2 linked regions of the Caenorhabditis elegans genome follow. The protein of the gene in region 2 interacts with the protein of the main gene of each other region in a pairwise test. Each region holds a gene or a part of one and is shown on either strand. Other genes may lie near its edges.

Region 1 (7,321 bases), 7.5 Mb from region 2:
TGAACCCATTTTCTTTTAGAGTAATAAAAAACGTGAGAATATTTATTTTTGTTCGACGACTGGTTGGGCGATTGCCTTGACGACTTGGACGGCTTCACGGGATGATGGTGAAGCTTGTACGGCCGAGTCTTTGAGCACCTTCTCGCGACTTGCACTTCTCGATCGAGATTTTCCGATCTGAAAATGTTTACTTCAGTTCAAGGACTCGAACCAGTGGCCTTCTGTTTGCAAGTCAAGCTCGTTACCCACTGAGCCATGCCGACAATTTTTTGCGGTGCTGTGCGGCCAGTGGCTCAGCCGGTAAGAGGCTCAGCTTTAAGGGAAAAGATCACAGGTTCGATTCCTGACGTCGGTGGAGGTCGGTGGACTTGAACCAGTGGCCTCCTGCTTGCCAGTCAAGCCTGTTACCCACTGAGCCACGTGTGCTCAGCCGGTAAGAGATTTTTTAATTAAAAATCTCACATTTTTCATTGCATTCACAGCGTTCTTTAACATTTTTGTGTATCGTTCGCTTTGTGGAAACCAGAAATGAATATTTTTTAACTTTTCATATACAAAATGTCATTAACATTTAAAAAACTCGAAAAACATTTAATCATGAGGGCAAACGTGAACAGAAAAAATAAGGGTAAAACGGGTATTATGACAAAAATCGATTGATTATAGAATATAAAACATGTCTCTGTGAGTATCAAAGGGGAATTTAATAGTTAAAGAAATTGCAATCAACTTACAAAAAATTAAAATTATTAAAAATTAGAAAACTGCTGAAAGTTTTCTATCATCTAAGTAGGTCCAAATTAGGTAACGAGGAATGGGTAAAGCGGTAGGAGTCAATATGCAAGAGCTTGAAATGTCAGAAAAAACAACAAAAATATTAATTTTAACATTAAAATTAACATAAAAAAATTAACAGAGTTAACGCTGCTGAGCCTTCCAGGCAGCCAACTCCTCATGGAACTTTCTCAAATCAGCTTGATACTTTTCCGTACGATAATGGTTGAGCACCTCAGTCCCATAGATCTTCATCTTCTTATAATGACCATATGGAATTGGTACCTCTTTTCGAAAATCATCGTCCAACACAAGACAGGCCAGCGTTTCTCCGTCAAACTCCTCGCGAACCATAATTGCAATAGTGGAATCCACGTTGTTGGTGATGAGAAGCCGAACCCAGTTGATGAGATCTTGCGCCTGAAGCATAATTGTTTTAGAATGTGTTAAGTCGAAATCCAGAGCCTAAGCCTGAGCCTAAGCCTGAACCTATGCTTAAACCTGAGCCTAAGCCTAAGCCTAAGCCTAAGCTTAAGCCTAAACCTAAGCCTAAGCCTAATGCTGAGCCTAAGCCTAGGTCTAAGCCTGAGCCTAAGTCTAAACCTGAGCTTAAGCCTGAGCCAAAGTCTAAGCCAAAACCTAAACCTGAGCTTAAGCCTAAGCCAAAAGTCTAAGCCTACGCTTAAGCCTCAGGCTAAGCCTGAGACTAAGCCTGAACCTATGCTTAAACCAGAGCCTAAACCTGAGAGAGAGAGAGAGCCTAAGGCTAACCTATGCCTAATACTAAGCCTAAGCCTAAGCCTAGATCTGAACCTGAACTTGAGCCTGAGCCTATGCTTAAGCTGAAACCTAAGCCCAAACCAGAGCCTAAGCCTACGCCTAAGCCTAAGCCTACACCTAAGCCTAAGCCTAAGCCTGAGCCTTAAAAAACTTACGTTCCACCTTGTGTAGTCTGATGTCTTGTTGGGCGGCAAAATGAGCGTAGCTTCGTGGTTGTTCTGAAGAAAATTGTAATTAAAAATTAGTCGTCATATTCTGAAAATGGTTACCTCGACAAGTGTAGGCATCGCAGGTGGAACTGGCTCCGTTGACTGTGGATCCCTGACGATTGGAGCTGGAGCTGAAGCCAATTCGACTTTAACCACCGGAACAGTCTGCTGAACTGGAGGCTCTTCTGGCTGGGATGCTGGTGGAGCCTGAGGAGCTGTGAGACGTCTCAGCGGTTGTGGCGGGATCCGATTGATGTGCGGGACCTGCTGAATGATGTTTGGATGGCGACCGGCTGTCGGTGCTGCTGTGGAGATCACCTGCTCTTGCTGCAGAACTGGCGGAGTTTCAGACTCTGGTGGGGATCCGGTAAGCGAGAAAATCATCGCCCGGATCTTTCGTGGGGAATCCCGAGAGTCGGATGAAGCTGGAGTGGCTGGGGTAGCTGGAGCATCCGGTGGGGAGCTGGAGGTGGATGGTGGGGCTTCTTTGGTTGTGGCAGTAGCTGGAACTTCTGGAGCTGCCTCGGATCTTTTTGGGATTTTCTCGGCTGGCTCGTCGACCGGCTCTTTCTTTGGCTCCACGAGCTTCCCCGATCCTCCAGATGTCCTCTTCTGACCTCTTCTCGATCCTCGTCTATTGCCACCACCTCTACCTCCACGTGCATTTCTTGGAGTAGATGTGCTCGCGTCGTTATCCACCTCCATCTCAACCTCCTGCTCCTCAGCGGCGTCCGAATCTTCAGGCTTCTTCTTCTCGGCGGCTCGCCTTGGCAGAGACTTTCTCGGTTGAGCAGCAGGTGTCTCTGGTAGGGGTGCAGCAGGACGACGGCGTGATTCGGGCCACATGTGGCCGAGTTCGCCGACTCGGCCACCATCCTTGGGTCCCAAGTCCATGCTCATAAGACGGTCCATTTCGGTTGTGCGGATTTTCTGAAACTTTGAGAAAAAATTTTAATTTGTTCACGAACCTTTTTTTTAGAACCTTTTTTCAATTTTTAGAGCAAATTTCAGCTTTGAAAGTTTATATCTCAATTGGTTTTTGTCTTATAAAAATTTTGAAAACTGCAAAAATGTTTAGAATTAATTTTTCTATAATTTAAAATAAAAAATAAATAGAAAATATGCATTAGAGATTCAGTTACGAGTTGCCAAAGTAAAGCTTATAAATTGCTCCAATTTAAGTTATCAACAAATACTCAACTACGAAATTGTAAAAAAATGCGGTAATTATTTTGTTAGTTAAGAATTTTTCGAAAAAACAAAAACCGTCCGAGATACGAGCCTTCAAAAAGCTTACCTTTTTTTTCTCGCTAGTCGGTCTGGACGCTTCTCCTTCTTTAGATGTATCCATCTCGGTAGCCGCCGACACATTTGACAGATCCACAGCCGACTCTTGAGGCATCTCTGTGGCAATTGATGTGTCCATAACTTCTGCTGCCGGAGCTGCTTCAGGTGTTGCAGGAGCTGCTGGAGCCGCTGGAGCCATCGGAGCCGCTACTGGAGTCTCTGGAGCCACCTCTGCAGCTGGTGCAGGTCTTCTAGAAGGTGCTCCGCGAGCTGCACCTCTGAAAGCACCACGATAGCCGGGCCGTCCTCCCCTCCGAGCTGCCATTCTGCTCGAGCGAGCCGCGAACTTGTTGGTTCTGAAAACAGTTGATTGATTGTTATCACAGAAAATTGAAACATTGCTAACAAAAATTGATATAACGCGCGACAAAAAACATACACACAAGGTCACACACTGCTGGGAAAACATACATCGTTCCATGTTTACATGAATCTCTGGCACCCTCTCACTCTCCCCCCCTATCACCTTCAAACTTGGCGGCGTCGGTGTGCGAGAAGTTGGCAATAGGGCGCGTTTGTTATCTTGATAAAGTGTAGGGAAATTTAAGCTCAAAAATTTCAAAGACTTTGATCTACGTAGATCTACAAAAAATGCGGGAGAAGAGACGCAGAGTTCTCAACCGATTTTGTATCGTTAAGAACGTGCTGACGTCACATATTTTTGAGCAAAAAATTCCTACATTTTTTGTAGATCAAACCGTAATGAGACCACGGAAAAGACTGATATGATCAAAATCTGGAAGCCAGGCCATATGATAGTTGTGCGAAATATCGCACTTTTTTCCCTTCCGCCATGACTCAGATATTGCTTATTGTCCGTTTCATATTGCAATATTGAGTTTTGTTATCATTAACAATCATCCCACGACATTCTTTAATATCTATTTTTTTTCTTAGTTCAAGAATTCTAAACGCCTGAAAACGGCCTGAAAAACGGCCTGAACGTAGCTTTATGCGTATAAAAAACCACCCACAAATTGGTTAAATGTATGCGCTTTTTGGGCTTTTTGCTTTTGGGAATAATATATTTGCTAATTAATTTTTTGTTCTGAAGCTCTAGTGCCTACCTTTGCAGATTTCTCATAGCTCCTAGATCAATCGGAAGTTCCTGATCCTCATCAGATCCATCATAGAACACCGGCTCGACTTCCCCTTCTTCCATCTCTCGAGAAGCTTGCTCCAAAATGCTCGTCACCCGCTTCTCCACATGATCCGGCTCGTCGGCCATCGGGTCAGCAGTCCTTTGCAATTGCTCATCACGATCGAATATCGTATCATAACGTCCCCGGTTGAGATAGTATTGGAGCTTTGAGCTGACTGGTAGTGGGACAACCTTCTCGTGGAGCATCTCCTCCTCGGCAGTGTTGAGCACTTTGATGATGGAGTTGGTCGGCTCGAACGTTTGGCGGGAGCACACGGCTTTTTCGAATTTATGAGCAAAAATGTCGGCGGACAGGCGTACCGCTTCGTAGAACTGAGATCGGGGGTCTTTGCCCTCTAGCTTTTTGTCGAGTTTTGCATAATATTGAGCTTCTTTTGGTAAGCTGCTTGATGAGCATTGATCTGAAAAATTATTATTTTCACTAATTGTAAGCAAGTTTCAAAAATTGAAGGTCTAGTAGAGCTTTAAAAAACTACAAAATTTTGGTAAATTTCCGAGAAATTCGGAAATTGGGGTTTTTTGAAAATTGGCAATTTGCCAAAACGGAGTTTATATTATAACTTGAGCACCAAAATTGCAATTATTAATTTTTCTATAATATATTTGAAAAATACTCACCTTCCAATGCATTTTCAACTTCGTGCTTTTCCGGTCGAACCACTTGAGATGTCGATCGTCGAGTGGACTGAAAGTTTTAAAACTATTGTAACTTATTGGGACGGTTAGCTATCAAAAAATTGTCAACTAATAAAATGTAGATAAATTTTGGTACTCCAAAGTGTTAGTTAACAATTTTTCCATATCTCTATTTTCCGGCAAGTTAGAGGGTTTTGAAGTTGATAATTACTAAATTTGTTTCTTTTTTTTTAACCCCTATATCTCATTGGAAAATAACTGGGCAACATTTGATAAAATATAAAAAATAGTTTAAAAAAATATTGAGCTGGGTATAAATCATTTGTTTTGTGTAAAAGTAGTGGAGAAACGATTATTTTTATTTTTAAAAATTTGTAAACTATACCTTATCCCTTTCATTTCCCTTCACAGCCTCCGGGGGCTCTACAATTGCAGATGTTGATGACATCTCATTACTGGTCAAGTTTGAACTCATTTCTTTTGAAAAAATTAATTTAAATGTATGTTGCAGTGAAATTCAATAAAACAATCTCCCGCTGAGAGGGGAGCGTCAAGATTCGTGATGGAGCGCGATTGCTCGTATAGTGGGGGGGGGGGGGGGGGGTGTATGGTACTTGGGATTTTGTTTCAAAAATGATTACACAAGGAAAATAAATTTTTAAATAAGTAGAGGTAGATTTTTTACACAAAAAAATCAATAAAATTCTGGAAATGTTTCTTTTCTAAAAAAAAAACTGTCAATTCAACTTTCAGACACTCCAAAAAGTTATGCCCGATCTTCACAATAAAAACTCGTATCTCACAGAAATTCGCAGAAAACTTTTAGATACCGGTAGCCTAAATTTGAAAAGAAAACTAAATTTTAACCAAAATGGTTTTAAAATAAAATTTTAAATACTTTAATTTTCACATTATATTTTCGATCAAAACACTAAAATAATTTTAAAAAAATAAAAAACGAAAACAGCAAACAAAAAAGTGCGAGTGACCAAATCAATCAATGCGAGTCGCAGTGGAGAGTGTGTGATGCGCGCACGCTCACCCCCACTCAAACTCACAGTCACACCTCCCCGACCCTCTTCTTTCACCACAGTGTCTCGTCGACTCGAACGATGATTGGTTTACGGGCGGGGCAATTGGGCAAAAGAGTGAGGAGATGATGGGGAATTGTATGACGACGAAGAATTATGTGGAGAGAGGAAGATTGAAGGGGAATAGTGCAAGAGAAGTTAAGCCCTGATTAGATATAAAAAGAGGATGGCTTATGGATATATGTATATGTATAAGGATTAAAAAAATACATTCCAATTATTTTGTGTATTATATAATTATATGTGTTTATAACAATCATCACCATAACTTATAGCAGATTATTCAATTTTTGGAGGTATAAACCAGGGAAAGGCGGCAATTGCCGTTCGGCAAATATTTCGTCGACAAATTCGGCAAATTGCCGGTTTGCAGATTTGCCGGTAATGTTCAAATCCGGCAATGTGCCGATTTGCCGGAAATTTTTATTTTCAGCAAAGTGCCGGTTTGCAGATTTGCCGGTAATGTTCAAATCCGGCAATTCGCCGATTTGCCGGAAATTTTTATTTTCAGCAAAGTGCCGGTTTGCAGATTTGCCGGAAATATTCAAATCCGGCAATCTGCCGGTTTGCCGGTTTGCCGGATGTTTTCATTTCGGTAAATTGCCGATTTGCCAGAAGTCTTCAATTTCGGCAATTTGCCCATTTGCCGTTTTCCGGTTATCAATTTGTCGGAAATGTTTAGAGGAATTTTATGTAAGACGGAAACCCTTAAAACTGTGCCTTTGTGAAATGTTTTCCCGTTTTCTTTAGATATTTTCATAGAATTGTCTACTTCTAAAAATAGATGTATGAGCATTCCTAGGATGAGTGCAATTTTTCCGATCAAATTTGAAATTTTTAAATTTCCAAAAAAAAATGTGCAAACCCACAATTTGCCGAAAATTTACAGCAAAGTCGGCAAATCGGCAATTAGCCGGTTTGCCGATTTGCCGGAAATTTTCAATTCCGGTAATTTGCCGATCTGCTGATTTGCCGGAAAAAATCTTTCGCGGCCCACCCCTGTATAGATGCCAAGGCTTTTAAAATCACAAGTTTCCGGGGGACACCAGTAACGTAGGAAAAATAATGTTTCATATTCTTTTTTTCATAAACTTTCGATAAAAATAGGGACTTTATAATTTTTCAATTTTTATTTTCAGACGGTTATTTCATGTAAGATTGAAAATATTGTTGAAATTTGCACTCAAAAAACTAAAAATTTTCAATTAAGTTCAAAATATTTATTATCAAAAAATCTCAATTCTTCAACTCCCACGTGTTCTGCAACTGATTAAAATAGAAATCGGTTTCCTGTGCCACATTCTGCCCGGATAACGAAACCG
Region 2 (3,502 bases):
TACAGGTTTTAAAATATATTTTTGAACTGTCATATTTTTAAAAGTGAAAATTGATTAGCAATAAAATGTTTTATTCTACCAGTCGGAGAAACTTTTGTGGACAACTTGGTTCGATTTTTCCAAAAACAGTAGGCAGGCAAAAGACAGGGAGGTAGGCAGGCATTCGGGAAAATGAAAAGAAAATTGGTTGAATAGGACTAAACTTTGGGTGGCCGGGATCCAGTTTATTTTCGGATTTGTGTTTTTTGAAAAGCAGGTATGCAGGCAGTCACACAAGTAGGTAAAACCGTGGAAATGGTGCAGGTGTGATGTAGGGGAAGCTATGTGGAAATGAAGACATGAGGCAGGATCGTGTGTCAGCATGATTTAGACATGATGTAGTCACATAAGAGATAGCCGAGGAAATATTGGTATTCATTCGATTAGAAAACTATTAGGCAGATCATTTAGAGCATTTAGCAGTAGACATTTAGGCCTTCGCCGTAACGGCATGACTGAGTACTATAACAAAAAAAAGAACGAGCCATAAATAAATACTTTATTGAATAGTGTCAAATAGAATTGACACTTTTAAAAATAAGCCGGCTTGTCATTTTGTCGTTTCTTTTGGTTCATCTCTCAATTCGCAGAAGATTCCTCAAGTCCTCCCCACCATGGATGAATGTAGTGCACCATGTTTCCTCCAGCCTTCACGCTAAAGAAGATTGCAACTGCGATGAAGACGAGCAGCACCACCAATCCGACAACTGAAAAATATAATTGTATAATTGAAACCTTAGGTGTAGGTACAATGTTGCCTGCCTGAGTGCCTACAAGGAACTTTCCGTACACCTTCTAGGCAAGCTGATAGGCATTCTCGTGCCTGCAGACTTGGCCATCCAACTCACCGATTCCAGCACAAAAGATGGTTCCCTCGATTCGAAACAAGAAGTTCTGCGATTCGAACTTGTCGGCCTTTCTGACTTTCTTGGTCTTTGACTTTCCTTTCGACTTCTTTCCTTTTTTGCCCTTCTTATCCTTCTTCTTCTTCTCTTCCTTCTTGTCCAGTGCTCCGAGCAGATCCAGCATTGCTGATGAGCCTCCTTGAGGTTTAGCACCTTGTGTTGGGTCACCTGCATCCGTGAATGAGACGTTGTCATCAGCCATTTTCCTTTTATGCCCTTTGTTTCTCTGAAATACGGATAATTTTGAGAACTTCGACTGTGATCGTGGCGAGACTCGCTGAACGCGCACCTAATTGAGGCCTCTTAGTCTGAAGTAGTACTAAATTAGCACCAAAACAAGTCATAAAAAGAGTGGCACCTTCTCATCCACCGTATCTGCGAGTACTGTAGCTTAACTCCAAAAAGTTTAGCAAATATAGTTACGTATGGCTCTCCAAAAATCTCACGAAGCGTATAGCCTGCTAATTTTGAGCAAATGGCTAAAAGTTGAACATCAGAGCATGCCACAGATTGGAAGATCTTCGTTCAGCCTCCACTTGCCCGAGAGAAACATCTTCCCAACCATTTCGAGGATACTCACCTTTTAGAGCTCAATGAACAACCGGCGCCTTTTGAATACTTTGTTGTAAGCAATGAATTTTTGAATAAGGAAACACGTGAGAATAAATAATAAAGATTAAATTATTTATTTTAGAATGTCACTGGATTTATTAATTATTTTCAATTACTTATTTTTTCATCCTTTTTAATTTTAAAAGAAATTTCCAAATTTGAAAAGTTCATGTAGACGGCGTGAACTTTCCGTGGAATATTCTTATCTTTGTCCTAGATCTTTCCTTATATAACGGGGCAGAAAACCTCAGTCAATCAGTATTCTGAGCAAGTTTCTCTGAATAACCCCAAACGAAAGACAACGATGGCGGACAAGTCGGCTTACATGGGCGCTGGAGGCTATGGATCAGGCTACATGGGATCCAATGCCTCGTCGTCGGGATATGCCCGCGAAGACTATGCACAAGGAGGAAATGGTGGTGGACAACAACAGCAGAACCAGGGTTCCGGAGGAAACACCAACCCAGGTGGACAGGTCTTCAAGGCCCGCACTGACCAATCGTGCTACCTTGGACCATAAGATGATCGACACTAGAAGAGCCAGTAGCCAACAGAAATGCAACTTTCTTTGGCCTTTTGTGCCCAATAAATAGTTTTTCTTAGCTCGTTTTTTGTTGTTTTTTAATGTTAATTACTTTCTCAATTGTTTTCTCAACAGCAATAAGTTCTCCTCTGTTGTTGGTAGGTGCTCCGTACACCGGCCCAAATTCGTTGTCCTCACCTAGTCTTCTCCCTAGTAAAATTCGGGATTGATAACTGAAATGTTTTTGTTAAAACTATAATTTATATATAAATAAATAAATATATATATAAATAAATAAAGAATTTTAATTCAATAAGCACCTTCTTCTTCTTTCTTCAGTTTCTTAGCTTTCTGTCAATTTTGTTCCTTTGTAAGTCCGCTTTCTTGTGGCTGATGGATGGTTTTGATACTGCAGGAGTAACCGGCTTGAAAGATCATGCTTATTATACAGCCAATAACAAGGTAGCCGGTCTCGACACGACAAATTTATCAATAAATGCAAACGGGTCTGCGCCTTTGAGGAGTACTGTAGTTCCAAACTTCTCGTTGTTGCAGGATTTTATCTGATGTTCCATAAATTTTCAAACAATTTTATTTCATAAAAATTATTTTATTTCATAATGTCCCGAGAAATTGATTTTTAATTAATTGCGAGGTTTTGAACAATTTCGCGATTCCTGCCTCAAAAATACGATACCTGGTCTCGAAGCGATTGTTTTTCTCAAGTGCGCTTTTAAGAAGTACTGTAGTTCCCAACTCCTCGTTGTTGTAGGATTTTATTTATGTTCCATAAACTTTCACCCGTTTCTTTGAAAAATATATTTACAAAAACAATAAATTTTTAAGAAACTGGCGAAAAACCAGGAAAAATCGAAATAATTCCGTAACTACAGTACTCCACAAAGGCGCACGTTTTTTCGGAATTAATGAAATCTGTCGATGCGAGACCTGGTACTTTTCTTTTGGAGAACTCATATCAAACTTCTAGATAATCGGTAATATCTTTATTTCAATTGTTTCAATGATATTCACAGCGACACGCATAATCTGAATGGGTTTTGGAATAAGGCTTCGAGGGAAAAGGGGGAGGAAGAGTGATGAATTCAGTATCTGAACTGACTTCGTTGCATAAAATACTAAACATAAAACGGTAACACAAAAACACACTCGTGACCAGTACAGTTCACTAATTTTACAATTTTTGATTATGGTATGGAACAGTTAATATGTCTACTTGGTAGGAAGGGGGAAATAATAATACTACAGCGGATAAAATATAAATTGAAATTTCTTCTTAAGCGAGTCGATTACAGTGAGTGCATCGATTTTGAACGGTACACGGGACACAGCACAAGAAGATCAATCCAAATGGGAATGTGAAGATTGTGAGCATAATCAGACATAGAAGACAGCACATATCAGT

Evidence for each region.
Region 1: the proteins of F11G11.4 (region 2) and sop-2 interact in a two-hybrid assay, tested with the Caenorhabditis elegans proteins (one large-scale study listed by BioGRID).

What each region holds. Positions count from the first base shown.
Region 1 is NC_003280.10:12,338,008-12,345,328, reverse strand, and holds sop-2 (Polycomb protein sop-2), read right to left. Parts: upstream 5,386-7,321; 5' UTR 5,384-5,385; coding exon 5,294-5,383; intron 4,958-5,293; coding exon 4,891-4,957; intron 4,674-4,890; coding exon 4,178-4,673; intron 3,407-4,177; coding exon 3,061-3,406; intron 2,700-3,060; coding exon 1,824-2,699; intron 1,773-1,823; coding exon 1,710-1,772; intron 1,695-1,709; exon of another isoform or gene 1,641-1,694; intron 1,195-1,640; coding exon 919-1,194; 3' UTR 534-918; downstream 1-533. Other genes in the region: C44C11.6 (Transcriptional regulator), read right to left, coding at 43-177, 463-495; sre-52 (Serpentine Receptor, class E (epsilon)), read right to left, coding at 7,236-7,321. UniProt on the Caenorhabditis elegans protein: Polycomb group (PcG) protein. PcG proteins act by forming multiprotein complexes, which are required to maintain the transcriptionally repressive state of homeotic genes throughout development.
Region 2 is NC_003280.10:4,858,719-4,862,220, reverse strand, and holds F11G11.4 (uncharacterized protein), read right to left. Parts: upstream 1,628-3,502; 5' UTR 1,525-1,627; intron 1,171-1,524; 5' UTR 1,147-1,170; coding exon 888-1,146; intron 747-887; coding exon 619-746; 3' UTR 525-618; downstream 1-524. Other genes in the region: nspd-5 (Nematode Specific Peptide family, group D), read left to right, coding at 1,861-2,076; F11G11.5 (Membrane protein BRI3), read right to left, coding at 3,374-3,502.